Linked DNA regions of Tamandua tetradactyla. The protein of the gene in region 2 purifies or fractionates together with the protein of the main gene of each other region. This does not show direct contact. Links are inferred from orthologs where the notes say so. Each region holds a gene or a part of one and is shown on either strand. Other genes may lie near its edges. The genes, in order: AMPD2, SDC2 and PDPK1.

Region 1 (10,680 bases), on a different chromosome or scaffold from region 2:
CCCACAGGCCCCTCCTGTGCACCGGGCCCTGGTGGCCACGCCTCCTCACCTTGATGATGTGAGCAAAGTACTTCCCGGAGACCCTGTTGTCGGTCTTGATGAAGATCTCTCGGAGGACAGACTCCCCAATGGGGTTGTACTTCGCATTGAACTTGTCGAAGCGATGGAAGGTGTTTCTGTCCTGGGGGAGAAGGGCAGACCCGGTGTCATTGCCTGGCCCCTGCCCTGACGCGGCCACCCTGCCCCAGGCTGCCAGGACAGACCGCGTGCACGTCGAGAGTGTCCACGCTCAGGTCGTAGGCGGTGAGATTCATGCTCTCGAAGACCTCCCGCAGCGTCTGCTCACGGCCCTGCTCCACGTGCACGATCTCCTCCAGATGCCGCTTCATCGCCCGCTTGATGAAGCGCAGCAGGTGCTTCTGGTTCATGCAGGACGAGGCGTGGATGTGTGTGTCCACCTACAGGGGAGACGGGAGGCGGCTGGGTCCACCAGAGGCCCGGCCAGGAAGGTCAGGGCAGCACGATGGAAGAGGCCTCACAAACTGGATCTGGGGGTGGCAAGGGGTGGGGAGGGGACGCCAGCCCTTGAGGTGGAAGCTGGGCGAGGGCCTATGTCGAGGGCAGTGAGGGCCCACCTTGCGGATGTTGTAGAAATCTCGGTGTGGCACCTTCTTCTGGGCGGCCAGCTCCTTCATCTCGTTGAGCAGCACGTGCATCTGGAACTTGGAGCTCAGGTACTGCAGCCGGCGGTAGCAGAACGACTTTCTGGGCAGGGGGTTGGGGAGACAACAAGGTAAGGGACTCAGGATGCAAAGGAGGCGCCATGGGTGGGGAGGCCTGGGTAGCAGACGGAGGGAGGGGACAATAGGGTCAGGCTGAGGGACAGATGAGTACGGGGGAACTGCCTAGGTGTGGGGTCTGAGGCAGGACACCCAAGGGGGCGGGGCTCACATGGGGCCGTTGATAATCAGGGCCATCAGCACATTGACATCAGCCACAAATTCCTGCAGGTCGGGGTACGGCAGCTCCAGCTCTGAGCAACTGGCATGTGGGGGAAACTGGGCTGAGGAGAGCAAGCCGGGCCCTCCAGCCCCTCCCCGGGGCCAAAGCAACCTCCCAAGCACCTTCCCCCAACCCAGGCCAGCCCCTCTTACTGCTCATCGAGCTCCCTGCGCGTGTAGACGTGTACCACGCCACGCACCATGCGCAGGCCAAAGCCCAGGTCCCCGGGCATGGTGCTGGGCTCGCAGTGCTCGTAGGGGTGCTGCTCCAGCGCAGGGGGGTGCACCGGGGCGTCTGCGGGGTGTGAAGGTGGAGTCAGGGCCAGGCCCCGTGGGAGGTGAGACACCAAAGGACCCCGAAGGGCTGCTCCCACCCCAACCTCTAACCCCTGCCCTCCCAGCGCCCCACCAAGAAGCCAGGGTGAGCCCAGATGGGTGGAGAAGCAGACAGAGCAGAGGCTCCTGGGTCCTGAGCTCAGGGAGCCCGGGAGATGCAGGCACTTGGATGGGGCAGGGATGCGGGGCCCTACCAGCAGACACGGGCGTCTCAGGGCCCTGCTCATAGGTCCGCGTCTCCAGAGGCTTCTCAGCCAGCTGCTGCAGATAGCGGCGGGTGGTGGGGCAGCAGCTCTGCAGCGCCAGCGCCATGTACTTCTCCCTGATGAACAGGGCCCGCACCACACTTTTGGCTGCGTCCAGCAGGTCTGTGAATGGCACCTGGAGGCAGGGACGTGTGATCACCCGCCTGGACCTCTGACCCCAGGCCCCTTCTCCCCATCTGCACAGGCCCTAATCCCAGAAACATTCAGACCACGCGGTCCTGGTGCGTTCACACCACCCCGGCTTTGAAAAGGAGAACCAGGGCCACCAGCCTCCACCCCCAACTCCCTGGGCTGGACGGGCTCCTGGGGACACCTAGGGGTGGAGACCCAAGCCCCGCCCCACACTCACGCCACACTTCTCCTCCCCGGAGATGGTGACCCGTTGGAACTCCCTTTCCAGCAGCCCGTCACGCTCCCGCAGGCCCCGGTCACCCTGGCCCTCGCCCTGCTCCTTGTACAGCCTGCACGGGGACGTGGATGGGGATGGGTGGGGGCCAGCAGCAGCCCAGGTCCCACCTCAGCATCCCCCTCGCCCCTCTGCCCTGCTCACTGTAAGTCTGAGTCACTATCAGTCTTCAGGAAGTCTTGCTTGGCCCGAAGCAAAATGTCCGGCTCCAGCCTGGAGGTGAAAGGGGTGAGAGGTCGGGCAGATGCATTCCCCTCCCCCAGCCCCCAGCACCAGGCCTGGAAGCACACAGGTGCCTGTCACCATGACCTCCACGGAGGGAGAACCCCCTGCCACGGGCACTGGTCCTACCCCACTTTAGAGCCGAGACAACAGACCCACAAGTTAAGCAACATGTTCCAGGGCACAGTGGTGGGCAGAACACGGAACGAAAGCTCCAGCAGCCTGGCTCCACAGCTCATGCTCTAGGCTGCCTCCCAGGGGGCCCCCAAGGGAGAGGGGAAGGGAAGGGGACCAAGGAGGGGCTCAGCAGGCTAGGCTGTGGCCAGGCCCTGGAGGCCGGGGGAGCGCACTTGACGTCCTGGCTGATCTGCCGCTCCAGGCGCTGCCGCCGCTCCTCCAGCTGCTCGATGGGGCTCTCCTCGGGGAACTCGTAGGGGGCGCTCCGGAGCTCGCTCTCGGCCAGCGAGCGGCTGAACAGCTCCTGGTGGGAGGAAGGCAGGCGCAGCCAGGAGAGGGTCAGAGCCCGGCCTTGGCCCCTGGGGTCCTCCCCGGCAGGGCCTCAGACAGGCTGAGAGCAACAGGAGGTGGGGACCCGGGACCCCAAAGGATGGGGAGGGGCAGCTGGGGTAGGGGCTGAAGGGGGCAGAGGCAGGGCGTGGGGACCCCCGCGGTGAGGGGACATGGGGCGGGGCCAGGCGATACCTCGGCGATCTCCTTGCATTTGCCATCCATGGAAGTGCGCAGGTCGAGGGGGAAGTGCTTGAGGCAGGGGGCGGGCCCCGGCACGGAGCGGGCGGACTGCAGCGGAGGGGCTCCCAGCCCACTCCGGGCCTCTGTGGAGACAGTGGTTGGGTCAGTGGACTGGGGGCGGGAGTGGACAGAGCCTGGGTGTCCGTAGAAGCCCTGTGTCCCTGCCCGTCCCAGGCCAACCCTGAAGAAAGGCCAAAATGGGCCCAGAAAGCGGGTCCCTGGGGCTGAGGAGTGAGCCTGCATGTGGGTTTCACAAGCTTTACCCTCACAGTGCAACCAGGGGGCCCCTCGCCCACTCCAGGCTGGGGTTGGGGGTCGTGAGTCTGGCCATGGAACAAGTGGATTCATTCACTGCGAGAATAAGAACCTGAACCCTGAACCGAGAACTAGGGCCCACACCCCCTGCTGTGAGAACCTCCCGTTAAGCACCTCCCCCAGGTGAGTGCCTGACATGCGTGCACGTGTGCAAAGGCGCACACACAGCAGACACTCACCAAGGACCGGGTGGCCCCACAGGGATGCCCAGCCCACAGCTCCCGGGGCAGGCAGTCCAGGACAAGACCTGCCTCTTACTAGATCTCCACCCAGAGAAGCAGGGCCCCCACCTGGTAGCACAGTCCTGTAAACCACAGGGGAAGCCACTAGCTCTGACCTAGGGACCAGCCCTCAAGGGAGGAAGAGAGGAAATGGAGGACCTGGTTGGCAGCAGGAACCCTGCCTCCTCCCTGGAGGCCTGCCCTCTCCCCCAGGACCCCAGGGCTGCCAAGATGTGGCCTGGCCCCAGCCTGGCCCTCCCACTGCTGGCTGCCCCTCCAAAGGGAGCTGCCACAAACAGCCTGCGCCACTGGGAGGCCCCAGGATCTGGGCCGGAGGCCCCACGGAGGGCCTGGGAAGGGGAGTATCAGAAGCCAGGGGTCTCTCTCCATTGAGGGGCAGAACTCTCCAGTTGCACCATCAGTAGGCTGGCACCATAAGCCTTGAAGCTGCTGGCCTGTTGGGGCTGCCTGAGCTCCCAGCCCACCCTGAGGGGCCTCCCTCAAGCTCTCCAGCCTCAACCTCACGGGTGGGAAACTCCTCCACACTCAACCTGGCTCTCCCAGCCAGCTCTGGGGGTGCTCCCCTCCAGACCCCTCCCTTCCCCTTTCTGCCCTGGCTTCAGGAAGGACTGAGGGATCTGCCTAGGTAGCATGCCTTAAAGTCTCTGTGCCCACTTCCCGGTACTCCAGAGTCTGGTCCCCAGGCCAGATAAAAGGAAGAGAGAGATGAAGTGCCACCCCAGATCCAGGACCCAGACGTCCACTCACACGCGCCCCTGCCCCAGCCCTACCTGCCGAGTTCAGGCAGCTCCAGCCAGCAGCCCTACGCCCCTTGCCCGCCGGCTTGCTGAGTGAAGCTGCAGCCTGTCCCCCAGGACAGCTCAGGGGCCGGCACGGGCTGTACCAAGTGCAGCTGCAAGGAGGGGAGACCCTGGGATGGCGGCAAGCAGAGGCTGGAGTTCAGGGGAGCCCAAGAATTAGGGAAGGGGCCTCAAAGTTGGGAGTTAAGAGGAACCCCTAAACTGACAGTGCCTTAACCTGTGCAGTGCCAGAGCCCAGTCAAATGTGAGGGCCCCCAAGGAGGAAGAACAGGGTTTTCTGATATGGGTGGGACAGACTGGCAGGGAGGGGCCAAGCCTTCTTAAAATCCACTGCCCTAGACAACTGAGAGTGGGCAGGGCCTGGCTGGCCAAAGGGTAGGGGGAAGGAAAAGGAAGGCAGGACAGCTCTCCTCAGCTCACACTCATCGGCCCAGGCCCTGTTGCCCACCATAGACTGTCCTCTGGGCCCCGCCTGGGAGGTCCCTCCAGGGAGTCAGGGGAGCTGGGGAGAGGAGCTGGCTGGTAGCCAGGGCAACGGCCTAGCCCTGTTTGGAGTCAGTTACTGGGAAGTCAGGGCTTCCCACTGCCCACCTTCTCAGGGGTAGCCATGAGATCTCCAACCCTTGCCCCAGACTTAAGTTGGGGACAGGACAAATGGTCGAGAAGGAGAGTTTTGAGAGAAGAACGTCTAGAATTTGGAGGACTTAGTTTGACTCTGTAGTCTACTTCTGGAGTCTTCAAGTCCTTATATAAGTGGGTTGATAAGCGGTTCCTGCCCTGCTCTGCCAGAGCTGCCAAGAAAGGCTCCCGGAGATAAAGACTCCCAGAGATAAATGGCTCAGCCAGGGTTCTGCACTGTGCCAAGAAGGATGTGCAATTATGAACTCCTGGGACCCTCAAAACACTTTCCACACGTAGTCCCACCCACTGGAGCCAGGGCAACTGGCAAAGGGCAGAGAAGAGGACAGAATTTGGCAGGGAAGTTGTGACAGGGAGTGATGCTGTCTCTTACTTGGTGGAGGGCAGAGCAGGAAGGGAAAGGAAGATGGGTACCTGCTCCACCCCCAGGGTGGAAGGCAGAGTCTAAGGTTCTTGCTTGTCCAAGTACCTGATGCTACATATGTCCTCCCCACACTTGTAAGCCCTCACGGGGAAGCAGAGCACAGACTTCCATGGCTGATCTGTGCTGGGTCCTCAAGATCTGAGCCAAAAGCCCTAATTTTGATCCTTTCTCCCAGAGAGGTGGCCTGGAGCCTCCAAGGCTATGTGGAGGGTGACAAGTTCCAGCAGCCAGAGCCATCCCCCCAGACCTGCCACAACACTGCACAGGGCTGCCAGGGATGCAGCGCCTCCAGTGGAAGTAACATGAAGGAGCAAACTTCAGGCTCTAGGAGGTCAGGGCCTAGAAGGCTCAGCTAGCTGCCTGTGGTCCCTTGTCCCATGTCCAGTGCTACTAGGATCCTGCCTATAGTATCCCCACACCCATCCACACAGGGGAGAATCAACCAAAAGCCCACCAGTCCATACACACAGCCACTCCACAGGCATTCCAGCAACTCCAGAATTCTGGGTACCCCATCTTCCTCTCGTCCAGTAGTCTCTCACTCCCTGCCAAGGAGGCCTCAGTAGGCACGGAGGTACCCCAGGCTGGTACTCACGAGTCTCAGATGCTCTGACCCTTTTACCACCCAAAGTTCTCTGGTTCAGCAATAGGGCAACTAGTACAGCCCCAGCCCCAGGGAACATACCTTCTGGATGGCACAGACCTGGCCTCGGGACAGTACAGGTCTTGGGCCAGGCATCTTCAATGGCATAAACAACAAAGGAGGGAGATGCTCAGGCTATAGGGACAGACAGTTGCTAGGAGACGTAGGGGGTGTACGCTTGACCTGGTCCTCAGCCACCGGGCCTGGGGGCACTGGGTGGCAGGCAGACCTGTATCAAGCACAGACTCTGGGAGCCAAGCCCTCACCAACACAGGGACTGCTGCACCACACCACCTGCTCCAAAGTGCTTGCTCCAAATGGTGCAGAGATTCCTACCAGAGGGGGAGCCGAATCAAAGGGTACAGAGATACCCGCAGCACAGCCTGAACACCCGAGACAGGCCTGACCGAAGGACACCCCATACTCGAGAAGGCTCCCACGCACAGACCAGGAATGAGCAAACATACAGCTGAGTCTCCCAGCTCTCGGTTGCCAGCCAGCAATAGGTGCACCCTGATGTCAAGACTCCGCTATCGAGGTCGGGGGTCCTGGAAAGAGGAGCCAGTCACAGAAGGACAGCCTGAGCCTGCCTGGTGATGCACAGCCACCAATCGGTGTGGCTGGTCCAAAAACCAGACAGCCAGCCCTACACACACCTCCTACTCCCACTCCATTCACACACACTCCACATGCAAACATTTGTCGAAGCACATCCACACGCTGACATGTGTGCAAACACACCTCTTGCTGAATCCACTCCTTGTTACAGAGGACAATGTCCGGGACACCTAAACCTCAGTCACCCCCACCCGACCTTCCTCCCCATGCCACCTCTCAAGTCAGCTCTCCCTGGTACTGAGGCCGAGGGGCACAACCATAGAGGGTACCAGAGAAGGCCCCCACCCCACCCCCACCCCCATCTCTGAGGGGCCATTGGTCTGAATGAGAAGAGGTGAGACAGAGCGTGTGTCCAAGGCCGGGAAGCACAGACTCACCCTGTACTGCAGCGGAGGCCTGCAGGCTGGCCCGCTTCTTAAAGGGATATTTGGCTTTGGACTTGCTGGGGGCAGATGCATAGGATGCCATGGCTGGGGCTGCACGATGGCGGGCGGGGGGCGTCTGAGCAGCACCGGCAAGAGCCTCACTCTGCCACATCCAACCTCTTCCTCCGCCCCGCCCCCAGCGGGAGTGACTGATGCAGGAAGCAGAGGCCCCGCAGGCGGAAGAGGCCCTGGCCACGATTTCTGATGTTGTCTAGGCAACCTGGCACAGAGGTTGCCTCCTTCCCCACCCCTCACCCCTCCCCTCCCTTCCTCAGCCCCTGGAGTGCCAGGACTGATGGTGGATGGCCCTGGGGGGGGAGGGGGGTGGAGAAAGAGAAAATCGGATGGAGAAAGGCCAGCACCCAGCTCTCCACAAACCCCGCCAGGAAGCCTCCTCACCCTTTGCCAGGGCTTCAGGGCAAAGTCCAGGTGAGCTGGTCCAGCCAGCCCGAGAGAAAGCATAATGAACAGGAACCCAGCCCCTGCCTTCACGCTCAGCACACATTCCTCTCAGGGCAGGCAGAGTGGCTCACTCTTCCCTGAAAACCCTGCCCGTCTCTGCGGCAGAGCCTCGGGTTTTGCTTCTCCGGGGAGGATGGGGTAGAACTGAGAGAGGAGCGAGGCGCCGGGAGCCGCTGTCCGGCAGACGGGACCCGCCAGGACGGCAGGGCGGCCAGGAGGAGCTCGTCTGGAGGTCTGTGAAAGACACCCCCGTCTCTTCTGACTCCCCTCTGTCTTTCCACACACAGGCGCTCCTTCCCAGAACGAGCCGGCCGCCTTCCCTCGGTCCTCCTGTCATCCTGCCTCCCGCACTGCCCTAGCCCGGAGGCCCTCCCCGCAACCCACGCGCACTCACCTGAGGCCATGCTGCCAGAGTCCCGAGGGGCCCCGGGAAGGCTGCCCGCAAAGGGACAAGCTGGGACTCGAGGGGAGGTCGGGGCGCTGGGTCCCAGACCCCGGCCGAGTCGCTGCGGCGGGCCCTGCCCTGGCACCGCGGTGGGGGAAATAAGGCAGGTCTTCCAGAGCGGGGGCGCGGACGCCCACCGGCCGCGGCGGCGCCGCTGCTCCGGCTAGCCGGGACCCCAAGGCCGGCGCGCGAGAGGCGGGCACACCACGTGCTCCCCAGAGAGCGGCACCCGGAACTCGGCCCGGCTTCTCCCCAACCCGCCCCGGGTACTTGGACTGGGACGTCGGTAGCTGGACCGTGGGGGAGTCACGCAACAGGTGCGACCCCACTAGAAGCTCGCCCGCGCCGCGCCGGTATCTGTGGCCCCGCCCTGGCCAGGCCCCGCCCCCGCCACTTTTCCGCTTCCCGGGCGCCACGTGGGCTGCTTCCACCCCGCAGCCCGCCTGGCGGGGCCTCCCGGTATTGGGCAAGTTCATAACCCTTCTGTGCGTCAGCTTCCTCGTTAGTAGATGGAATGCGGGAATGACAGTACCTCACTCAAAGGGGTTATTGTGAGGATTAAATGTAAAACCCCCTTGCACAGTGCCTGGCACATGGTCAGCGCCCAATAAAAAGTAGCTATTATTAGTGTCCCAGGATTCACTTTGAGCCGTAGAAGCCCAGCATTCCCACTCTAGGTCCTCTGTTCTCTTCTGGCAGGCCTAGGTAGGCACGGTGTGCCCTGCTATTCTGGCTCCCCTTTCCTCATTTATTTCTATATTTGGTGGCAAAGGGATTAGCATCTGTAACCAGATTGCTGGGTTCAAATCCAGGCCCCTCCACCCCCTGACTGAAGTTGGGCAAGTTCCTCAACTTTTCTGTGCTTCCATTTCATCTGTGAGTGTAAGAGTACCTGCTTTATGGTGGTGGTTAGGCTAAAGAGCTAGTACGTGTAAAGTGCTCATACTTGTGCCTGGCCTTTAGTCACAACTCAGTGTTTACATCTCGATCACGGCTATGTCCTAGGCTTTGATTTCTTACGGACAGGTTGATTCAACCTCCAGCCTATAAAGAAGTGGACGTTTGGGGGATGCTGCAGATACTCCAATCAGCTAGTACCCGCACCCCCAAGTGGCAGAAAAACTTACCTAAAGGGAACTTGTGGAGGGAAAGGTTAAATCCATAAGATTTCCCTACATAAAACTAAGTGCCCAATAATAACAATTAGAACAATCTCTTCCCTATTTCTCACCCTTATGGAAGGGCCCTTTGACACCCCCACCCCCCCCAACACACATCCAGTTGAACTGTTTACCCCCTCCCAGTTCTCACCACCCCCACAGCCAAGCTTCTTCTTCCAAATCTTGCCTCCCCCAACTCTCCCCAGGCTGGATTCTGGACATTGAACCTTATTCTCTACCTACATCCAGTGTTACCTCTTTTGATCCTCTGTCCACTTGCTCTTTGCCCTGGACAAACTACAAAAACAATAGCCTCCATAGACATACACACAGGAAGTCCACCTCAGATAGACATACACACAGGAAGTCCACCTCAGAATCAACACAACTAATAAGAAAACAAGGAGATTCCATGTTTTAACTATCAAATTAGCAAGATAGGTAAAAAAAAAAAAAAAAGATCATCCTAATGCAGTTAGTGAGATGGGACACACACACACACACACACACACACACACACACACACGGTTGTGGATATAAACACTGAACAAACCTTTCTGAAAGCCATTTGGCAATATATACCCAAGAGTTTAAAAGTTCATTACTATTAGACCCAGTACTTCCACATCAAGGAATTACTCTTGAAGTGTAAAGAGTAATTCTTTTTTAAAGCTGCCAGAAAAAAAAATTTTTTTTTAATAGAACAGATTTCAGAGTTTGGTAGGGGTCACAGTTCCAAATTTTGGGTTTTTACTTCTAGCTACCCAAAGACACTGGAGACTAAATGAAATACCGATCTAGTGATTCAGCAATCATACTCATTTGTTAAATCCTATCTTCTCTGTTACAACTCCACCTTCTCCTTTGATCTTTCTCCAGTCTGTAGGGGTTATTTGGGCTATGCCCATTCTGACTTTCTCATGTTGGAAAGGGCTGTTGATAATATGGGATAGAGGGATGGAACTAGTTGATGTTCTGGAGAGTTTGGCCCCTCTAGGTTTCAGGACTTATCTGGCCTAGAAGCCCCAACTGGAGGTTGTAGGTTTCTGGAAAGTAATCACAGTGCATGAAACTTTGGAGAATCTCAGATAGTGCCCTACATGTTCTTTAGGATTGGCAGGAAATTTTGGTTCAGGTTTGGCAAACCAGTAAATAGCAGTATCTAGCTGAAGCTTAGGTAAGACTCCCCTCCAGAGTGGCCTCTCGACTCTATTTGAACTCTCTCAGCCACTGATACCTTATTTGTTACAATTCTATTCCCCCTTTTGGTCAGGAAGGCATTGTCAATTCCACAGTGCCAGGGCCAGTCTCAACCCTGGGAGTTATCTCCCACACTGTCAGGGAGCCTTTCTCCCCTGGATGTCATGTCCCACATAGGGGGGGAAGTTCTTTTTTTAAAGCTGCCAGAAAAATATATATGAATAAAATTTGTTCATCACTGCAATGTTTTATCACACAGAAAAGCTGGAAACTTAAAGGTTCAGCAATAAGAGAATGTTTAAATTATGTGAAAGGCATACAATGAA
Region 2 (9,795 bases):
TTAGATGCCACACCATGTTAACAAGGAAACACAGGAGATTTCTGGACCATGGGGGACATGACCAAAAAAGTGGTGGATAAACCAAACAGCAAGCAAGCACCTGGGTCCAGGAAGGGCAACTGCAAGGCTACTGACATTATGAAGGCATAAGCTGGCAAGATTCTGAGAAAGAAAAAACAAAAAAGAATGGAAATAGTCTGGATCACTTGGAACCAAAGCACCAAAAAGGTGAGGGAAGGGCTGGGGTAGGGAGGCTGCTTGGTTCGCTCACTGCTAAATCCCAAGCACCAGTAGGTACTAAATAAATATTTTAGAAATGAATGAATAGATGGATTTAAAGGTGAAATGGACATGGAAATCAACAAAAAGGAATAAGTCAGGGATTTCTTTAAGATTCACGTCTGAGGATTAGAATTAAGATGGAGGTTCTGGCACAGCTGACCAAGACTTAAATAGGAGTAGCTAGTTTTCAGCAAAGGCTTTTCTGTATTACTTCTTGCTGTTTCCTAAAATTTTATTTTGGCTTCTTGTCCATGAAAGAATTATGTGATTTTGAAACACTGGAATATACTATTGACAGTGGTGTGAATGGCAGGTCTTCTTTCTTGGGAAGAAGAGGGGCAAGATCTTTTAGTTTGATCTTTTGGCAACAGAGGAGAAACAATTCTAGTGAGAATCTAAACTCAGAGGCACGCCTCATGGGCCCTCTTGGACCACTGCCAGCAAACAGGCACAAGCCCCCGTGGCCTGACCCCACTCCCTATAAAAGTAACAACAGAGTGGGCTGGGCTCTGTACAGCTGGCTCAGCCTCACAGCCTTGCCAAACTGAAGAGATTTCAGGCCACCTCCGGCTGGCCATTCAGGTCTCTGGAAGCTTTTGGAGACTTGTTAATTTGTAAGTCTCTTCTTCTTCTTCTCTCTCTCTCTCTCACACACACAAACACACACACACACATGCACGCACATGCATGCACATGCATACACGCACAGTCTGATGGTTTTCTGGCAATGTTAAAAGAAATCCTGCCCAGGAAAAAAAAACATCTTTTGATATCTTTGCCAAACTAATGATTATCCAAGGTGTCATGTGAGTGATCACATTACGAGTCCCCAACAGGCTGCCATTCAAATGGTGAGCGACATCAAAACTTGACCTACCAGGTCCCAGAAGTGGGAGATGGGGGACATGCTCAATTTCCTACTTGGAATATCCACCTCCTGCGAGCCTGATCTTTTAAGATCTTTCCTTCTTAAATGACGTCTCTCTACTTCTAATAGCCAACCAGCAGAGAAAGAGTCCTTGTTTCTATTAAACTCCCCAGCAAAATGAATTGGTTTCATTCCTAGAATGGCCAAAATATATTTTTTAAAGAATAGCAAAAGGCAGTATGATTTCAATTTTTATTTTCCTTTCTGATGCAAACTTTCCAAAGCCAGCCTTTCATAACACACTGGGTCTAAACTGCTTGACGGTTTCTTTTAATTGAGAAACATTTAAACATATGTATAAAATTCCACTAGTCCAAAACACTTCCCTTTTCTTAAAAATATTTCCAGTTCAAGTTATGTGTTTATGGTAGTCTGCAATATATTATTTCTAAAGATAAACAGTCATAAAAAAAAAAACTGGATAGAAAAACAGCAGCATATCACTACCGCCACACTCAGTCAGTCTTTCTCCTTGCATAGTGTTCCAACAGTGAAAGCCCTAACCTGCCGGTGGAAAGTATGAATGCATCACCACGAACAGGCTTTCCCTGGCTAAGCACTGGCTGCTGTGTTCTCACATCCACAAAGGAAGAGCCGCTTGCTCCTTCTCACAGACAGCCTTGAGACTTAGTTCCTGAGAACTACCATTGCCCCCCACCCCCACCCCACCCAAAGCTAAGTATAAAACTCAAGATTTCATTAATGGCAGACTTTTTCCCTTTCTCCCTTGTAAAGAGAGACTACCACTTAAGCACTGACTACCACTCGTTCCAAGTCCCAGGACATAGCTCTCAAGTTGAAATGAGAAGTACTGGAAATAATGCACTACAGTGACTAAACTTTCTAAAATGAACTCTTTTAACTCCATGCTTATTTCTGTTGCTATACATGAAACAAAAAGGTACTGAATAATAATTTAAATTGACGAGTTGTCATTCTGAGCTTTGAAGCAGCTTCTGGAAGAAAAGACTGACTCACTGCCCAGCAAAGACTCTCGGCTATAGTCTGTGAATTGACATTTTAAAAACCTCTAATCACTCTTTGAGATGATATTCCAATTACTGAAAATGTAATCTTCCACAATGAGGCAGCTTACACCAAATGCATACAATTCTGATCAGAACAAACAGACCACATTGATAAATATTAGAACCCCAAATATACAGATTTCAGGGGAAGGGTGTCACCCAGAAGGTGCCAGATACAGTTCAGCCAAAAAGCTTCCTTAAAGAAGCACTGTCAGATTTATGCAAAAACCCAGACAGGCAGACGATAAGAGACATTCTTTCTCTAGAATCCCAAAACAGTAACATTTCCTAAACAAATCACTGAAACCCACTGAACAGGACTGAGAGGGAGGAAAAAAAAGAAAAAGGCTCTACTAACCCTGTACAGCTTTTTAGGCAGGCTGCCTTTGAAAACCCTGAGATAAAGTTCTCCCTTTTGCCCTGTTTTGCAACAAGATGAGCAATAATGTTTATCTGAAATAAACAGAGAATCTGTTCCTTTTTGTGTACACAATGAGCCAAAGTTCATAACTGGTTCGGAGATTACTAATTTCAACCGATTAAAACATCATTTGCTAAAGAGAAATACCCCTAAGGGTCGGAGCTCAGTTTTACAGCCTAAACGCCCAAATAACTCATCTATTCTTTATCACTGACAATTCTAGATGCTCTCCAAACCGAGATAACGTTTGGGGATCTGCTAGTAAGTACGCAGAGGCTCACACACATTAAAATTGCCCAGCCAGTGCCCATTGCCAGAGGGTTTCCCAATCCTAAACTGGTTCACCTCAAAAAGAAGGAAGAAGGAAAAGTAACACCCCAAAAGCGAGGGTGGGGGGGAATCACAAAACAACCTAAAGGCGATATAATTTTTCTTGGGAAGAGACAGTTGAGTTAATTAGAGAAGGAACACTGAAGACTAGGAGGGGCAGAAAGAACGCATTCTCTAGCCTAGCCTCCACACCGCACTGAGGCCGCAGACGGAATCCCGACGCTTGGGCTTCCACTTGCCTGGACCTAGCTCCGGGCGCCTAGGTAGGGCCGTTGAGCAAAGGAAGCCCGGGAAACAGTCCCCTTTAGAGGGCGCTCACCGGACTACGTAGGGCCGCAGAAACCCTACGTAGGGTTTTTTTCTCGACCAAACCGAGAAAAAAAAATTTTTTTTAATCAAGTTTCCATTGCGGGAGCGGGACAGGAGGCTCCGTGCCCGGGACGCGCCGCGGCCAAGGCCCGAGAGGGCGAGCGTGGTCGGCTAGAAGTTTCCCTCCGGTAGCCGGCAGGACGACCTGAAGGCCGAGCGCAGTTTCACACACACCCCGCCTCGCCCTGCTTTCTGCACTCCAGTGCACTTGGAATTAAAATGTCTTCCAGCCCCGAAGGCCCCGCGGGCAGCCCTCCGCCCCGCAAATGGAGAGGGAGGTCGCCAAAGGACTCCAAAGGCCCACGCCCCCGCCACTTAGCCGCGCGTTCCGCGCACTCCTCGCGTTCTCCTACGGGCCGGCAGCGTTTCCAAGTCGCGACGGCTACCTCGCCCCAGCCAGAGGGAAAATTAAACAAAAGAACTTTTGGAAACTTTCCTCTCGGGCAATTGCAGGTTTCTCAAATCTGGGGCCCATCTCCCCAGATCCTACATTCTGTACAGCCGGAAGGATAGCCTGGGGTAATGGTGTGTGGAGGACGGAGCCCCAAAGTTTCCAGCTCATCCCTGAGTCGCACGGAGCGCACAGAGACGTCCTATTCCTTCGGGAGTTCTGCTCCTGCTCCAGTCTCCGGCCACCCCTCAATCCCCACCCCGATCCTTCCCGGGCCACGCAGCAAAACACCCTGAGAGCGAAGTTGGGAGTGACTTCAGTAACCTCTGCAGTTGGACAAAACTGCCACTCTCGCGCTCCCATCCCGAGGGACCTCGCGGCAACCCAAGCGAAGGGCGCCTTTCTGCGGGCAGGGTAGGAAGAGGGAAAAGGGGTGGAGAAGCGAGCGCATTTCTCCCAGCAGATCCCCGGGGACCGAGCGCGGCATCTAGGAATGGGATCCCTCAGGTGACGCTCCCCGATTCCCCCGGGACACCGCGGACTCCTCTCGCGGCCCCAAACACCCTGAACCGTGCATGCGACCCCCGCTGGCCCACTCACCGACTCCGCCGACACGCACGCCACCAAGCCCAAGGTGAGCAGGATCCACGCGCGCCGCATATTCCTTGGTGACCGGTTGCTCCTAGCCTCCGCTTGCAACGAGGGTGAAATGAAGCCTCCTGCCTAGCGCCCCGCGCGGCCCGCGCAGAGGGATCCGGAGTGGAGGAGCAGCAGCAGCGACAGCAGCAAAAGCTCGGGGCTCAGGGGCGCTCGCTGCCTTCTCCTGCGCCTGCTCCTGCTGCCGGCGGCTGCGCCCCAGGAACGCGGTGCCTTCTCACTTGTTGGTTTCTGGACTCCCGATGCCGAGTTGTTGCTCTGGGGAGGCTATCTGGAGCTGTTTCTCGGCTGCTGTTTTATTCCTCCGCGGCCTCGTTCCCCGTATCGCGGCTTAGTTTCTGATTTTAAGGAATAAATTAGAAGGCTTGCAATAAGGAGGGAGCTGGAGTTTAGTGGCAGTGCGGTTGGGGCGCGCGGTCCGCCGCGCTGGAGCTCCGGGAGTATCTGGAGAGAAGCTAGTCCGCGCTGGGCTAGTGGCTCCGCGGCTGCGCCCCTCCTCCCCCCCACCGCCGCCTCCCTCCCGAGTCCTCCTCCTCCTCTTTTCCTCCCCCTCCCTCCCTCCCTCCAGAGCTTGCTTCTCCCGGCTCCTCCGGGCGTCTGGGTGAGAGGAGGCGGCAGTGTGACTCCCAGTTAAACCCGGGAGAAATTCCTACAGGATTACGCCCCGATTGGCAGCTCCTAGGGCCAGTGGGCGTTTGCGGCTCGGCGCTGTGGCTGTTCGGTGGCTGCTAGTTCACAAACCTGTGCTCCTTCATTTCTCACCCCCTCTTCCTCGTCTCTCCCCACCCCCAGCCCCCCACTTTTCCTTTCTCTTCATCCAGCTGTTCTGTTTTCTTTTCTTTCTCCTTTCCTTCACTTTCATATTTCTCTCTCTAGAAAGATAGTGAAGAAATGAGAGATATTTAGCTTTCTGCCAACAAGAATTAGAACAGTGGAAAGAAAACCGTTTTGAGAGTTCAAAAAAATAATTAAACTCTTTTTTTACAGATAAAAGTTCACAGATGTTTCCAGGCAATGAGAAGTATATCTAAATCGCCAATTCATGAAAATTGTATTTTTAAGCAGAGGACACTTAATAAATGTATGTATTAAGAGTATTTCCCACACCGACAGTAATTCTTTTTCCTCCCCCTTCAAAAATAATAATAATAATAAGTGGAGGAAGGCTCCTATAAACCCTAAATGCAAGTTTCAAAGGTAATAATTTCATTAAGGGCTTAAATACCATTTCTGCCTCACACACAGCTTCAGCCTCTAAGGCATTTTGCAGGCTCCATTTCAGCATAGAAGTGTCAACGTTTGAAAGCTAAAACAGGGCAATTTGATGAGAAACTGGATAGCCACCCAGATTTAAGACCTTCAAAGGAAAGAGAGCTAAAATATTTTCTAGTTTAAAGAAAATAAGGCGCATGTATTTCCTGAATGTAAATAACTGATACGAAATATTTTGTTATAAAGTTACTGTATTTCTTTCAAGTCAATGTCTATGGTGTACTATAGAACTTGGCTAATGAATAGTCCCTTCCAGTTTCTACCACCATCTTGCTCTGTGACTTATGGAGGGAATGAATTATGAAGCCATTCTGCTCCTAGAATGCCCACTCCAACAGACCCAGGTACCTTTCTGTCTTGTTCACCACTTTATTCCTCTTGTTGACACATAAAGGGCACGCAATACATGTCTCTTGAGTAAATTTTGTTGTAAAGCTCAGTCTATACTGAATAAGAGTAGTAAGACTTTAAAATACATATATAGGGATCCATAGATACTGGGCCATGGTAATTTTTGAACTTAGTCTTAGAGTTAGATACAGTCATATCCTAAATGAGAATTGCAAAGTCTGAGCAATCTATCACTTTAATAAATTCGAGAGAAAGAAATTTGTAGAACTGGAGAATTAACATCTCAAATTGGAAACATCTAGTTGTTTGGTTTTTATGGCCAACTACCAAGCTCCAAGTGCCCAGGGGCAAATCTAAGGCATAGGCAGACAAAAAGATATGTATTGCAACAGGCAAACAAACAAACAAAAAAAAAAACAGAGAAAGAGAAGGAGACTGAAAGTTATAACATCAGATGCTTCTGATTCCTCAGAAGATGATCCTGCACTTGCACCCTTTGTGAGGCCAGCGTGCTCTTTGAAAGATTGTACTATAGCCATATTTTAAGGTGAAATATTGTGGGTTGAAGAATTTCATAACATGGGGAGACTTCTCAAAGGAGAGTCCAAGGGAAAATGTGTGGGAAAATACAAAGAACCATAAAATGTGAGCTCTACCCCCATAGGGACCTAATCTGCTCTCCAGCCATCAGGCAAGGCCATACCCCTTTCATTTCCAACAGCTAAGAACCCATCAAATTAATTAGAATTCTAATCAGATGGGAAAGTACACATTTGCTGGCTCTGATGACTAGTGCTGTGGTTTGGGGCATCCTCCTAGCTTGAAGCAAGGTGACTGCTCTCTGATTCAGCTTGAACTAAATGAATAAAAATGAGTAAAGCAGATACATGTGTTGAAGGGGTGTATCTGTCTCTTTACCAAAGACACACACCAAGGTCCTTGATGTCTATGAGACTCTCAATGCCTTTTTGTTGGGTTTGTCTTCAAATGATAATGTGACTTTGAGAACATATACACCAAATGAATTTGGTACCCTTTTTTTGTTTTTGCATGGGCAGGCACCAGGAATTGAACCCGGGTCTCCAGCATGGCAGGAGAGAATTCTGCCACTGAGCCACCATCACACCACCCAATTTGGTACCTTTTTAGGAGTCACACAATCTCAAGTTTTGATATGATAGCTAGTCAAGCTCTTATGTTCAAATGCATTAACAGATGTGGCTCAGGGGATAATCTAACGGTATAAAAAGCACTAATCATAAAAGCACTTGCACGAAAACTGGTTGCAAATGCCTTGCCTACATTAAGTGAGGAGCACATTGGGAGAGGGATATGGGGGTTTGGGGAGACGGTGTAGAAGGTAGATGATGTCTACTAGTGTTAGTCAGAAGCAAGTCTAAATTTGGAGATGACAAAGACCCTTATGTGTTTTGTTATTGGGCTTTTTTTCTTTTTAACTGATGCAAATCAAATTCTGTAGAATTTTGTGAAATATACCTAATACACTAGTTCAGCTCATGACTAGAGCCTAAAGGTACCTGGCTACTGTATGTTTTCCAATTCACCAGTTTGAAGCTATACTTTGAGGGACACAGCAAATAAAGTAGTTTAACCAACCAAATAGCTTCACTGGTTGCTAAAAGAACAAGCAACTTACCTTAAGAATCTCAGAGGAAAATATTTAAAAGTTAAAATAAATATAGATTAAGATGCTGATATGTAGAAAGCAGGAGTTAAAGAGGACCAAGTAAAATGAAATAATAGAAATGAAAGATACCCAAGACATACTTTTAGTTTTTTGTTGTTTACCTAAAATTGATGACCTAGCCTCTTCTATAATGGTATCTAGTAATATTACTCTATGACCTTGGACAAGCAGGTGCTTCATCCCACGTGAGCTGTACAAGTTGGGGAAACTGCAAAGGTAGAAAGATGCCACTTTGTTGTTCTCGGTTGTTCTGTCACTCGCCACTCCCTGGAATGTTATCAGGGATGTTGGCTAGAAATCCACTTGGAGCATTAAGCCTGACTAAATTCACTTGAAAGATGATGGACCTGGAGTATAAGAGAAAATCCAGCCAACCAAATATGAATTAGTTATGCTATTAATGGCAAGTGAGCTGACACCATGACAAAAATCTACAGGTGATGCAAAAAAATCTTTATTTAGCCTCATTTTTTCCCATTGTTCTCTTCATTCACCTCCACCAATCCTTTGCCAGGGACGTTGACTGATTTGAGTTTCAGCTCCCCTCCCTTTCACAACTTGACATGGTGCTAATGTTGAACAAAACTGCCACATTTTCGACAGCAGGCAACAGGGAAGAACCTCAAGGAACTATATAATATACAGTTACCCGCTGAATAAACCAAGAGGCAAAACACCTACATAGGTTTCTTAAAGTCTGGAAAACCTTGACAATCATTCGTTCATTCAACAAACATTTGGATGACCTGCCACAGTGCCTACACGAAGGGTAGGCACATAAATTTTCTTGAAACATATTTGGAGTTAATTACATATTAAACCTAAGAGTTTCCCCAAATCACAAGTCTGTGCCTGAGATATATGATTAATTTCATCCTCAAATTAGTTATGAAATTTTAAAGAAGCACATATTTTATCGAATGCATCATTTCTGGTTGTGTCAGTTTGAATCTGTGGTGGACCCCAGAAAAGCTATGTCCTTTAATTCTCATTCAATATTGCTAACTGGGAGCTTTTGATTGTTCTCATGGAGCTGTGACCTACCCAGTTGTGGGTAGTACTTTTGATTAGATGATGTCCATGGAGGTGTGTCTCTACCCATTCAAGGTGGGGTTGCTCACTTGAGCCCTGTAAGAGGGAACCATTTTGGAAAAAGCTTTAGGGCCCATACAGCCAGAGACCTTTGGAGACGAAGTAGGAAAACACCCCTAGGAGAGCTTCATGAAACAAGAAGCCTGGAGAGAAAGCTAGCAGAGATCGCCATGTTTGCCATGTCCCCTTCGAGTTGAGAGAGAAACTCTGAATGCCATCGGTCTTCTTGAACCAAGGTATCTTTCCCTGGATGCCTTAAATTGGACATTTCTATAGCCTTGCTTTAGTTAGGACATTTTCACAATCTTAGAACTGTGCACTTGCAACTTAATAAATTCCTCCTTTTTTAAAGGCCATTCTTTTCTGGTATATCACATTCTGGCAGCTAGCAAACTAGAATATTGGTCCTCACACACTATTTTTCTCAGAGCCCTACTTGGATATATGGATTTAAGACCTTTAACAGAGAGATAGCTCCAAGTCATTTGCATTGTGTTTATATATCCAGTTGGACAGGAAAATCTCCTGTTGACTGACTCCATGTAAAATGGAACTACTCTATTACTACTGTCTATAGATCAGTCCTCTTGTGGCAGCTAGCATCAGCCCCATTCCTTGTTCTTAGAGAATCATCTTCTCCCAAAGCCTTGGAGGGGAGCCCTATACACTAAATGGTCGTTGTTCCTAATTGTGTAGACCACAGCTGGACAATTGATGTGGGGGAGACAATTATTGGTAGGGAGTCTCCTCTGTTCTTCCTAAACAACAGACCATTAAGATAATTAATTCTCACCTATTATTTACAAACTAGGATAGAAACATTGCTCTTAGAAGTATGTTCTGTTATATCGAAAAGAACAAGCAAAAAGCTAAATATAATTAAGAATGGCATAGGAAACCAGAGTACATATCATCCTATCTTTTTAAAAATTATGCACCATGAAAATGTTAAACCCAAGGAAAGAG
Region 3 (10,417 bases), on a different chromosome or scaffold from region 2:
AGAATTGAAAAGCTAACTCTAAGTCCCTTTCCTACAAGTCTCTGCTGCCTGTCAAACCACTTAAGGAGAATTTCAACAAGGCTTCGAGTCTTCCCTGCAACTCTTATCAGCCTTCCCTGACAACATCCAACACAGCTGTCACTCCGAGACACAACTCTTACTGCAGTAACATTAATTCCAAAAGAGAAAAACCGGATGAAGAATGGAACTTTAACAATGAACTTACTGTAAAAGTTAAGCCTCTAAGGGATGAATTTGGGCTGAAATACCGCAGCCGCCTGCCCGCAGCCTCTCATCCGCCCGCAGCCTCTCATCCGCCCGCAGCCTCTCATCCGCCCGCTACTAGCTGGAGAGACTCACCGGCAGCTCCACAAACACACAGAAGACACAGCCTTCCAGAACAGACACCCTTGGCAGTCAGACCTACCTTCAAACCACGACTTCAAATATTTCTAGTCCCTGTGGGCTACCAGTGGGTTTGAAGCACCGATGGAGCTCAGGATGGTCCCTAGCACAGTACGCGGCACAGCGTGCCCTGGATCAGCTTTGTGGGATGAAGGAGGTCACTGGGCCATCCTGGAACCACATGTTCACCTTCATCAGGCCCGACAACAAAACCTCAGATGGAAATAACATGCTTGTTCATTCTCCAGTGGGCCATGCGCTCAGCACAGACTGCTAGTATCGGACTCATCAAATGTTTTCATTAAGTATAACGTGCTGTACTGTTGGTTCCAACTGCTGTGGGTCTGTAGATAATCTATTTACATATACATCTGACTGAGTTTCTCTAAGGGGTTTGAAGTTCATAAATGTAAATCAGAGAGAATGCAATATCTCTCTGAAACAAGATTCAATGGTAGCTTAAAACTACCTGGAATTTCTTGGAGTAAAAATTTCAATTAAAATATTAGGAAAGCTTTCTAAGACTAAGAGTGGAAACAGACTTTGCTCAACTAAATAAATGCAACAGTGTCAAACACAGAAAAATAGACCTGGAGAACCATCATGAACCCAAACAAGTTTCTCTTCTTTAAGATACTATCATCAAAACAGAGTCCCCCATTGATGGAACCAATTCTTCAAACTGTTACTCTGAGAAAGTGTACTCTGCCTGTTTATCTAACAGCTAGAGACCTAATACACAACCATTCCTCAGTAGTCAAATAATTTAAAGAAAAGGGCCTGGTATCACACTGAAAAAGAATGTTATCCAGTTTCAAAAAAATACACTACTGAAAAGACCTGAATAATAAATGTTCGAAAATTAGTTTCCACACTAGCTACTTCCTCCCCTGTGAACTGCCCTTTGAACCTGCCTGGCTTCAAAACAACTGCGCCCATGCGCCCCGCTGACGCCTGGTATCAAGAGGGCAGGTGCACGGTATGCGGTACACGCGGGCCTCAACCCCTCGCACCTGCAGAGGGAGTCACTTCAGCACTGAGGGTCTCTCAACAGCAAGTACTTGGTCTAGAGGCAGAACTGAAAGAGTACGTGGAATTCTGTCAAAGCACATTTGCTCTAAAGATACCCTTCAGAAATGGGGAAAGTGTCATGCTAGCAAACAATCCTAACCATAGAATCGCCCAATCAATCATACACTTGCCAAATTCTGTCTCACACTGGGGTCAGTCTGCTGGCCTACGTGCACCCAACCCCGATCAGTTTGCTGACGGAGCTGGTTGAGGGGCACAGACTGAAAAAGGGTTCACACCCAGGAACCTCTTTTTCCTCTTCCCCAAACTGAAGGCAGCCTAGAGGCCAAAGGCATGACTTATATAGCTGTAGACCGCTTTCCAGAGGTTTTTCTGGGATTCTTCTCGTAAACCCATGTGAGAAAGCAAAACAGACCTCCCCCTTCACCCCTTATTGGTACTGGGATCTCACCTGCCAGCTCTGAACTCAGCTCCATAACTGCTGCAAGAGCTTCCTGGGGACAGAAATCAACATGCTGCAGTCACACAAAAAGCCACCCAAAAGGGAATCAGAAACCACTTCGTTCCATGCCCTGCTTTTCCCACTGCCTTTCCCATGAATGCAGCAATACTTCTGAAAGTTAGCACCACCCAAGTGTGGGAGGGAACGACCCTGGCCCCCGAATTCTACCTTTCACAGAATCATTGCACACTGCAGTTCTGCTAAGGGAGGATTCCAAGCCTCACCCATTCAGAATACCAGCTCTCAAATAAGGATAAACCAGAGCCTCTTCCCAAACAGTTGCTTTCCCACAGCATGGGGCTAAGGCGACTCTGAGGGTCACGGAGTTCAGCCATCTGCCTAAGGAAATAAATAAGTGTAATGTCCTTCCATGTGAAGATATCCCTCCTGCCTCCAGCATGACACAGTCAGGACATTCAGGCGCGATCCTCTGGAAGACATCCCGGGCAGAGGCACCAAGGGCTTCTTTAAGCTGAGCGCTGAACTGTACTCCCGGGAGACGCTCCCTCTGGGAGTCCCTCACCCAAGGGGCAGTGTGACACCGGGATTCTCCCGTCTCTCAGACTCGAGCGCAAACTGCACTGCGTTATTTACAAGGCAGATACTTAACCTCTCTGCATGTCAGCTAACCCCCCTGTAAAGTGGAAATGACACCTTCCTCCAAGACTGTTGATACCACAGGACAACTCAGTGTGCAGCACTAGCAAGGCGCCTGCCTTCACCTGAGTGCTTTAACAAATGGAACAGACAGCTTTCAGTGCATCTTAGTACCAACCTGGGCTACACCATTTTCTAACTGCACAACTTACACTGCTCCCTCTCTTGGCAGTACACTTAGAAAGGCCTGGGAAAAATAACCGTTGAGATAGGGGTCTTCATCTACGTCCCTAGAGAGGATGTGAACCCACTCAAACTATGGAAAAGCCAGTATCAGGCCCACCTCTGAAGGGGAACATGGTACATTCTCACTTACGTATGTTTGGAATCGATTTGACAAAGTCGCAAAAGCCTGGTTTCTCTCACTTCCTGATGTGAAGGACTATTTTTTTCTCACTGGTTTTCAGCGTTTTTTGCACTAAACAGCTGCCATATGCAGAGAAAAGTGCCAACGTTAGGCATCAATACATCACATAGAACTTCCAAGGCCTGGAGAAAATGTGCTCTTTCCCCTCCCATGGATGCCATCAAAGCATGCACCTTGCATTGCAACAGCATTCCTGTGTGAAAGTTCATTTTACAAACTTCCACAACCACCGTCCTCCCTAGCCACCAGTCCGATGAGCCAAACAGCCTGATTCAGAGTTTTGCGTCAGCCCAGGCCCCCCGGGGCATAGCCACCCATGTCGCAACCATCAATGACATCCCTGTCACCCTTCACCATTTTCCTCAACTAAATGGGTCCTCCTTTCAGATTTTGGATCAATGCAGTTTAGCCCATCTGTACAGACCAGAGTTCTTAACCACCAAGAAGCTGCAGGACAGGACGTTCAGGAACCTTCCCAAGTAGTAACTGAATTTGGTGCAGCTGTGTACTTTCCTCAGCGCACTTTCCCATACCTTTCATCAATGTCTCAAAGGGGTCCAGGAGCCCTACCACTGACCCCCCCAAAAGTTAAGAATCCCTACAGTAAAGAGGTGTCCTGGAAGATAAGAGAACAAGTTAACTTAATGGGTGTTCCTTCAATTAAGGAATTTATTTGCTTTTTAAAGCAAATTTTGCAGGATGTCTAAACTTCTTCCACCACTCACTTCACATTCACACGTAAGATATAAAATTCTTCAACCATCTTCCCCAAACTCCAGAATTTAACAGAGTGAAGATATAAACACGCTAGAGATACTTTTAGCAACAGGGAGAAAACACAGAAACACTCGTGATACTTTCAGGAAAACACTTAACCCAACAAGTGTTACTGGTTTGCTTTTATCCCTAAAATCCCCTCCTACCTGTCAAGCTCCTTTTCCCTTCGGTGCTAGGTCCAAGCTCGGCTCCCAAGGGCTTCCCATAACACTGAAGCCTGAGGCCGGGAGCAGAGCCACAAGGTAGGAAAAGTAAAAGCACCCAAAAGTCCCTCACCTGGCCGTGAAGGGCGAGTTTATCGGGCTCTATCCGAACTCAAAATCTGGTAACGAGATCCCGGGAGCAGCCGGTGCTCGGGACAAGCGCTCGCATCTCCTGCATCTGCTGCTCGGCCCGGGAGCCGGGACGTAGTTCCAGGTGAAGGCCCGGGGCGGCTCCTCGCGGGCAGAACCGAAAGGGCATCCCGGAGGCCCGGCTCCAGGCCGCGTCGCGCCGAAAACAAACTTTCCAGGCACTTCCACCCGCCGGGCCGGGTGACACCTCCCCGGCCTCGCCCGCCCTCCGCGCGTCTGTCAGCGTCCCCCGCCAGGGCCGGCGCCCGCCGCAGCCAGCCCGGCTCCCCGCAGCCGCCGAGTGGCGCCCCGGCCGGCGCCCGCTCCCCCGGCCCGGCTCGCCCGGCCTGGCCCCAGGTGAGGCGCCGCCCGGCCCGCGGGACCCCGGGCCGCCCCGCCTCGCCGGGCCCGGGCGGCCGCCGGGCCCGACGAGGCCCAGAGGCCGGCGCGCCCGCCCCGCCGCCGCACACTCACCAGCTGGCTGGTGGTCCTGGCCATGGGCCCCGCGTCGGCGCGGGCCCTCCCCCGCAGCGCTGCGCGGCTCGGCGCCTCCTCAGCGTCCTCCTCCCCGCCGCGGAGCCCCAGCAATGGCCGCCCTCATCCTGCGCCCGCCCCGCCGCCCCCCGCCCTCGGCGCAGCCCCGCCCCCGCGCGACGCTGGCCGGGACTTCCGCTGCGCGGCCGCCGTCGCCCTCTCCCATTGGCCGCACAGGCCGTCACTCCACCGCGGCCCCGGCCGACCCCGCCCCCGCCCAGGGAGCCGCACTTCCGGGTTGGGGCCCGCCGGGTGGGAAGGGCTGGTCCCCGCCGAGGGGAGGACCTGCGTGGGCCAATCCCGGGGTCTGCGAGTCGGGGCGGGGACAGGGCGAGCTGTCATCCCGGGCTCGCAGTTGGGGAAGCCGAGGCTCGGAGGGGCCTGGACTTGGGCCAAGGTCACGCCGGAGGCACCGAAGGAGCATGGTTCTCACCCCTGCACCGTCTCTAGGGCGGGTCCTTGAGGAACTTTTCTAGTTAAAAACGAATGCGTTATTAAACTTTCCCACCTGGGAAACCCCTAATACACTCAAACATTAGGGACTCCCAAGTTAATAGGCCAGGCCCCTGATCTTGAGGCTAGCTCTTGTGAAGCTTATTTATGTAAGAGAAACTAAGGCTACCTATGGTTATGCCTAAGAGTTAACCTCCAGAAAATCTCTTTGGTTGCTCAGATGTGGCCTCTTTCTAAGCCCAACTCTGCAAAGAAAATACCTTACATGGAATATGACGTCCAAGGGTGAAAGTCTCCCTGGGACGGCCAAACATGACTTCCAGGGTGAATCTGGCCCTGGCACTGTGGGATCAATAATGCCATCCTGACCAAAAGGGGGAAAAGACATGTAACAAAATAAGCCATCAGTTGCTATGAAAGTTCAAATAGAGTCTAGAGGCTATTCTGGAGACTACTCTTAAGCTAACTTCAGCTAAATATTGCTGAATTGCAATGGTTTGCCAACCCCCAACCAACACCATTCCTGTTAACCCTAAAGAACATTCAGGGCTGTTATTTGAGATCCTACAGAAGTTTCTTGCACTAAGTTTACTTTCCAGGTGGTCCCTAGACCAGATAAGTCCTGAAACCCAGAGGGCCCAGCCTCTCCAGAACATCAACTAGTTCCATCCCCCTATGTTGACATCCTTTTCCAGCATAAAAAAGTTGGAATGGCCAGAGCCCAAATAGCCCTGAAGAGTGGGAGAAAGATCAAAGGAGGAGGAGGAGTATAACAGAGAAGACAGGATTTAACAAATGAGTATGACTGCTGAATCATTATGTTGCTATTTCTTTTAGTCTCCAGTGTCTTGGAGGAACTAGAAGGAAAAACCTGAAATTGTGGATCTGTAACCCATACCAAACTTTGAAATCTATTCTATAAATATTTGTAGAATCTACTTTGAAATGTATTGCTTCTTTGTATATGTTATATTTCACAATAAAAATGTTTTTAAAAAATGAACGCATTGAAGGACATTTTGGTCATAAAGACGCATTTATAAGGCAGAAAACAAAGCCATCTCATCATTGCAAATAGTCCAGGAACATCCTCAGAACTTTTTTCTTTGCCTAGGCATGTATTTCTTATTTTTGTGGTTGTTATTGTTGTTGATGATGATGCTGTCTTCAAATTAGGATCATCCTTGTAACCTAAGGCTTTCATAGTGCTAAATAACCTGTTTTTTGTGTGTATCTGTTCTAGTTTGCTAGCTGCCAGAACGCAAAATACCAGAAACAGAATGATTTTTAAAAAGGGGAATTTAACAAGTTGCTAGTTAACAGTTCTAAAGCCGAGAAAATGTCCCAATTAAAACAAGTCTTTAGAAATGTCCAATCTAAGGCATCCAGGGAAAGATACCTTGGTTTAAGAAGGCCAATGACGTTCAGGGTCTATCTCTCTAGTGAGAAGGTACATGGCAAACACGGTCAGGGCTTGTCTCTCAGCTGGAAGGGCATATGGCGAACACAGCGTCATCTGCTAGCTTTCTCTCCTGGCTTCCTATTTCATGAAGCTCCCCGGGAGGCATTTTCCTTCTTCATTTCCAAAGGTTGCTGGCTAGTGGATTCTCTGCCTCATGGTGCTGCAGCATTCTCTGCTCTCTCCTTCATTCCCCAAAATGTTTCCTCTTTTATAGGACTGCAGAAACTAATCAAGACCCACCCAAATGGGTGGAGACATGTCGTCACCTAATCCAGTTTAACAACCACTCTTGATGAAATCCCACCTCCAGGGGGATGCTCTAATTACAGATTCAAACATACAATACTGAATAGGGATTAGAAGAAACGGCTGCCTTTACAAAATGAGATTAGGTTTAAAATGTGGCTTTTCTAGGGTACATCCATCATTTCAAACCAGCACGATATCCAAAGCAATATATCTGAATTTTTTTAATGATCCTTTAGATAACACAGAGTAATAACAATGAAATAAACTCACCCATTATCCCACGTGGCTAGACTGAATTGTTCAAGAGGAGTAGTAGCTGCTAACATTTATTCAGCGCTTACTCTAAGTAAGGATGTTCAGGCCTAAACCCATTTACCCTCACAAACACCCCCACCACTGTCACCCCACTTTTCAGACGAAGAAGCAGAGGTCACAAAGTGTCAGGACAAGAATCTAGACACATAGGATACCTTAAGAAACAATAACAGATTCCGCGGGTCAAGATGGCGGCTTAACAACGTGCGCATTTTAGTTCATCCTCCAGAACAACTGCTAAATAACCAGAAACAGTACAGAACAGCTCCTGGGGCCATGTCGGTGGCCGGACACACAGTGTACCCCAGTCTGGACCGGCTGGACCGGCTACGAGCACCCCCCAAAACCATGAGTTCCCAAAGCTGCGGCGGCCAGCGCCCCTCCCCGACAGGCCGCTTCCCAGAGGGGAAAGGAAAGGACTTTACCAGCAGCAGGGACTGGGCACAATCAAACGCCAATTGTGGAACTAATTAACAAATTCTGACTACTAAAAATAGGCCCCCAGCTTAGGTGAACCCAATCAAAGCGGAGGTTGCTCATTTTTGCCCCGGCACCAAGGGGGCAGGCCTGACAGAAAAAGGGGGGAAGAAAGAAGGAAACAGGTTTTTGTGGCTATATATCTACAAAGGCTTGACTGCCTCTGCATACAGCCGCAGGACTTTTCAGGCTGCAACTGCCCCAGGCATAGGCAGAAGTGAGCTCTTCTGGGGGCTTATCTGGAGCCTGTGCCTTCCCCAGGGGAGGGGTGAAGCCCCACCCAGGTGGAATCCCTCCATCAAGGAATTCAGACACCAGTGCTTGGTAATTTGAAGCCATTAAAACCAGCCTACAACCTCTCCTCTGTCTCCAACAAACCCCCAGCCAAAGTTAAAGGTACCGCATCATCTTATGCTGGTGGGACCTGCAGTCAGACAAGCGCCACATACTGGGCAGGATAAGAAAAACAGAGTCCAGAGACTTCACAGGAAAGTCTTTCAACCTGCTGGGTCTCATGCTCAGGGAAAACCAATGCAGGTGACTCTTTCCTCCTGATAGGAAGCCAGTTTGGTCTGGGAAAATCTGGCTGGGATCTATAATATCTAAGCAGACCCTCCTAAGTGTGTGAAGGGGAAAGCAGCACAAGAAACAAGAAAACAAGAACAGAAAAATTCTCCTCTGTTAAACAAAACTTAAGCTAAAGGTCCAGATAAAGCTGAACAGAATGTCAAAGAACAGATAGACAACAAATTCATCCAGCAAGAAAACCCTAGATAAAAGAAGTGAAAGCAATCTCCAGAATAAACTAATTAAGGTAATTAAATGCCTAGACGCCAGCAAAAAATAACAAATCACACTAAGGAAATTGACCCAGTCAAAGGAACAAACCAACAATTCAAATGACATACAGGAGCTGAAACAACTAATTCAGAATATACGAACAGACATGGAAAACCTCATCAAAAACCAAATCAATGAATTGAGGAAGGATATAAAGAAGGCAAGGAAGGAACAAAAAGAAGAAACTGAAAGCCTAAAAAAACAAATCACAGAACTTATGGGAATGAAAGACACAGTAGAAGAGATGAAAAAAACAATGGAAATCTACAATGGTAGATTTCGAGAGGCAGAACATAGGATTAATGAACCGGAGGACAGAACATCTGAAATCCAACAAGAAACAGAAACTATAGGGAAAAAAAAGGAAAAATATGAGCAGGGACTCAGGGAATTGAAAGACAATATGAAGCGCATGAATATACGTGTTGTGGGTGTCCCAGAAGGAGAAGAGAAGGGAAAAGGAGGAGAAAAACTAATGGAGGAAATTATCACTGAAAATTTCCCAACTCTTATGAAAGACTTAAAATTACAGATCCAAGAAGTGCAGCGCACCCCAAAGAGAATAGATCCAAATAGACGTACTCCAAGACATTTAATAATCAGAATGTCAGAGGTCACAGAGAAAGACAGGATCTTGAAAGCAGCAAGAGAAAAGCAATCCATCACATACAAGGGAAGCCCAATAAGACTATGCGCAGATCTCTCAGCAGAAACCGTGGAGGCGAGAAGACAGTGGGATAATATAATTAAATTATTAAAAGAGAAAAACTGCCAACCAAGAATTCTATATCCAGCAAAATTGTCCTTCAAAAATGAGGGAGAAATGAAAATATTTTCAGACAAAAAATCACTGAGAGAATTTGTGACCAAGAGACCAGCTCTGCAAGAAATACTAAAGGGAGCACTAGAGACAGATACAAAGACAGAAGAGAGAAGTGTGGAGAAGAGTGTAGAAAGGAAGACCATGAGTAAAGGTAAAAGGAAGGAAAATTAGATATGACATATAAAATCCAGAAGGCAAAATAGTAGAAGAAAGTACTACCCATGCAGTAATAACACTGAATGTTAATGGATTAAACTCTCTAATCAAAAGACATAGTCTGGGGCGGGCCGCGGTGGCTCAGCGGGCAAAGTGCTTGCCTGCTATGCCGGAGGACCTCAGTTCGATTCCCGGCCCCAGCCCATGTAACGAAAACGGAGAAACAGAATACAATAAAACAAGAAAATGTTTAAAGATGTTTCCCTTTCTTCCTTCCTTCCTTCCTTCTCTCTGTCTTTCCTTTAAAAAAAAAAAAAAAAAAAAAAAAAAGACATAGTCTGGCAGAATGGTTTAAAAAACAGGACCCATCTATATGCTGTCTCTACTCAAAGGTCACGAGGCCAAGGACACAAATGGACATTTACATGTTTATAGCAGCATTATTAACAATTACCAAGTGATGGAAACAGCCAAAATGTCCATCAACAGACACTTGACTAAACAAACTGTGACATTTACATAAGATGGAATATTATGCAGCTGTAAGACAGAATAAAGTTATGAAGTATGTAACAACATGAATGGACCTTAAGCACATTATGCTGAGTGTGATTAGCCAGAAACAAAAGGACAAATACTGTATGGTCTCACTGACATGAACTGACGTTAGTGAATAAACTTAGAATATTTCCTTGGTAACAGAGACCATCAGGAGATAGAAATAGGGTGAGATATTGGGTGATTGGAGCTGAAGGGATACAGATTGTGCAACAGGACTGAATATAAAATCTCAGATATGGACAGCACAATACTACCTAACAGTAATGTAATTATGTTAAAACACTGAATGAACCTGCATGTGAGAATGATAGAGGGAGGAGGACTGGGGACATAAATGAAATCAGAAAGAAAGATAGATGGTAAAGATCGAGATGGTATAATCTAGGAATGCCTAGAGTGTATAATAATAGTGAAATGTACAATGTACAAATTTAAGAAATGTTTTTGCCTGAGGAAGAACAAAGGAATTTCATTA

Evidence for each region.
Region 1: the proteins of SDC2 (region 2) and AMPD2 purify together in Homo sapiens (co-immunoprecipitation; 3 studies listed by BioGRID and IntAct, counting the BioPlex papers as one, with this or other methods). This does not show direct contact. The link is inferred for Tamandua tetradactyla from reciprocal best matches to the Homo sapiens genes SDC2 and AMPD2.
Region 3: the proteins of SDC2 (region 2) and PDPK1 purify together in Homo sapiens (affinity purification with mass spectrometry; 4 studies listed by BioGRID and IntAct, counting the BioPlex papers as one, with this or other methods). This does not show direct contact. The link is inferred for Tamandua tetradactyla from reciprocal best matches to the Homo sapiens genes SDC2 and PDPK1.

The regions. Positions count from the first base shown.
Region 1 is NC_135337.1:13,230,314-13,240,993, forward strand, and holds the start of AMPD2 (AMP deaminase 2), read right to left. Parts: upstream 4,303-10,680; 5' UTR 3,330-4,302; coding exon 2,934-3,329; intron 2,713-2,933; coding exon 2,582-2,712; intron 2,223-2,581; coding exon 2,154-2,222; intron 2,065-2,153; coding exon 1,953-2,064; intron 1,719-1,952; coding exon 1,532-1,718; intron 1,297-1,531; coding exon 1,155-1,296; intron 1,042-1,154; coding exon 952-1,041; intron 766-951; coding exon 636-765; intron 459-635; coding exon 264-458; intron 182-263; coding exon 50-181; intron 1-49. UniProt on the Homo sapiens protein: AMP deaminase plays a critical role in energy metabolism. Catalyzes the deamination of AMP to IMP and plays an important role in the purine nucleotide cycle.
Region 2 is NC_135332.1:140,323,417-140,333,211, reverse strand, and holds the start of SDC2 (syndecan-2), read right to left. Parts: upstream 4,898-9,795; 5' UTR 4,410-4,897; coding exon 4,350-4,409; intron 1-4,349. UniProt on the Homo sapiens protein: Cell surface proteoglycan which regulates dendritic arbor morphogenesis.
Region 3 is NC_135349.1:54,877,007-54,887,423, forward strand, and holds the start of PDPK1 (3-phosphoinositide-dependent protein kinase 1), read right to left. Parts: upstream 4,677-10,417; 5' UTR 4,571-4,676; coding exon 4,547-4,570; intron 4,226-4,546; exon of another isoform or gene 4,017-4,225; intron 1-4,016. UniProt on the Homo sapiens protein: Serine/threonine kinase which acts as a master kinase, phosphorylating and activating a subgroup of the AGC family of protein kinases.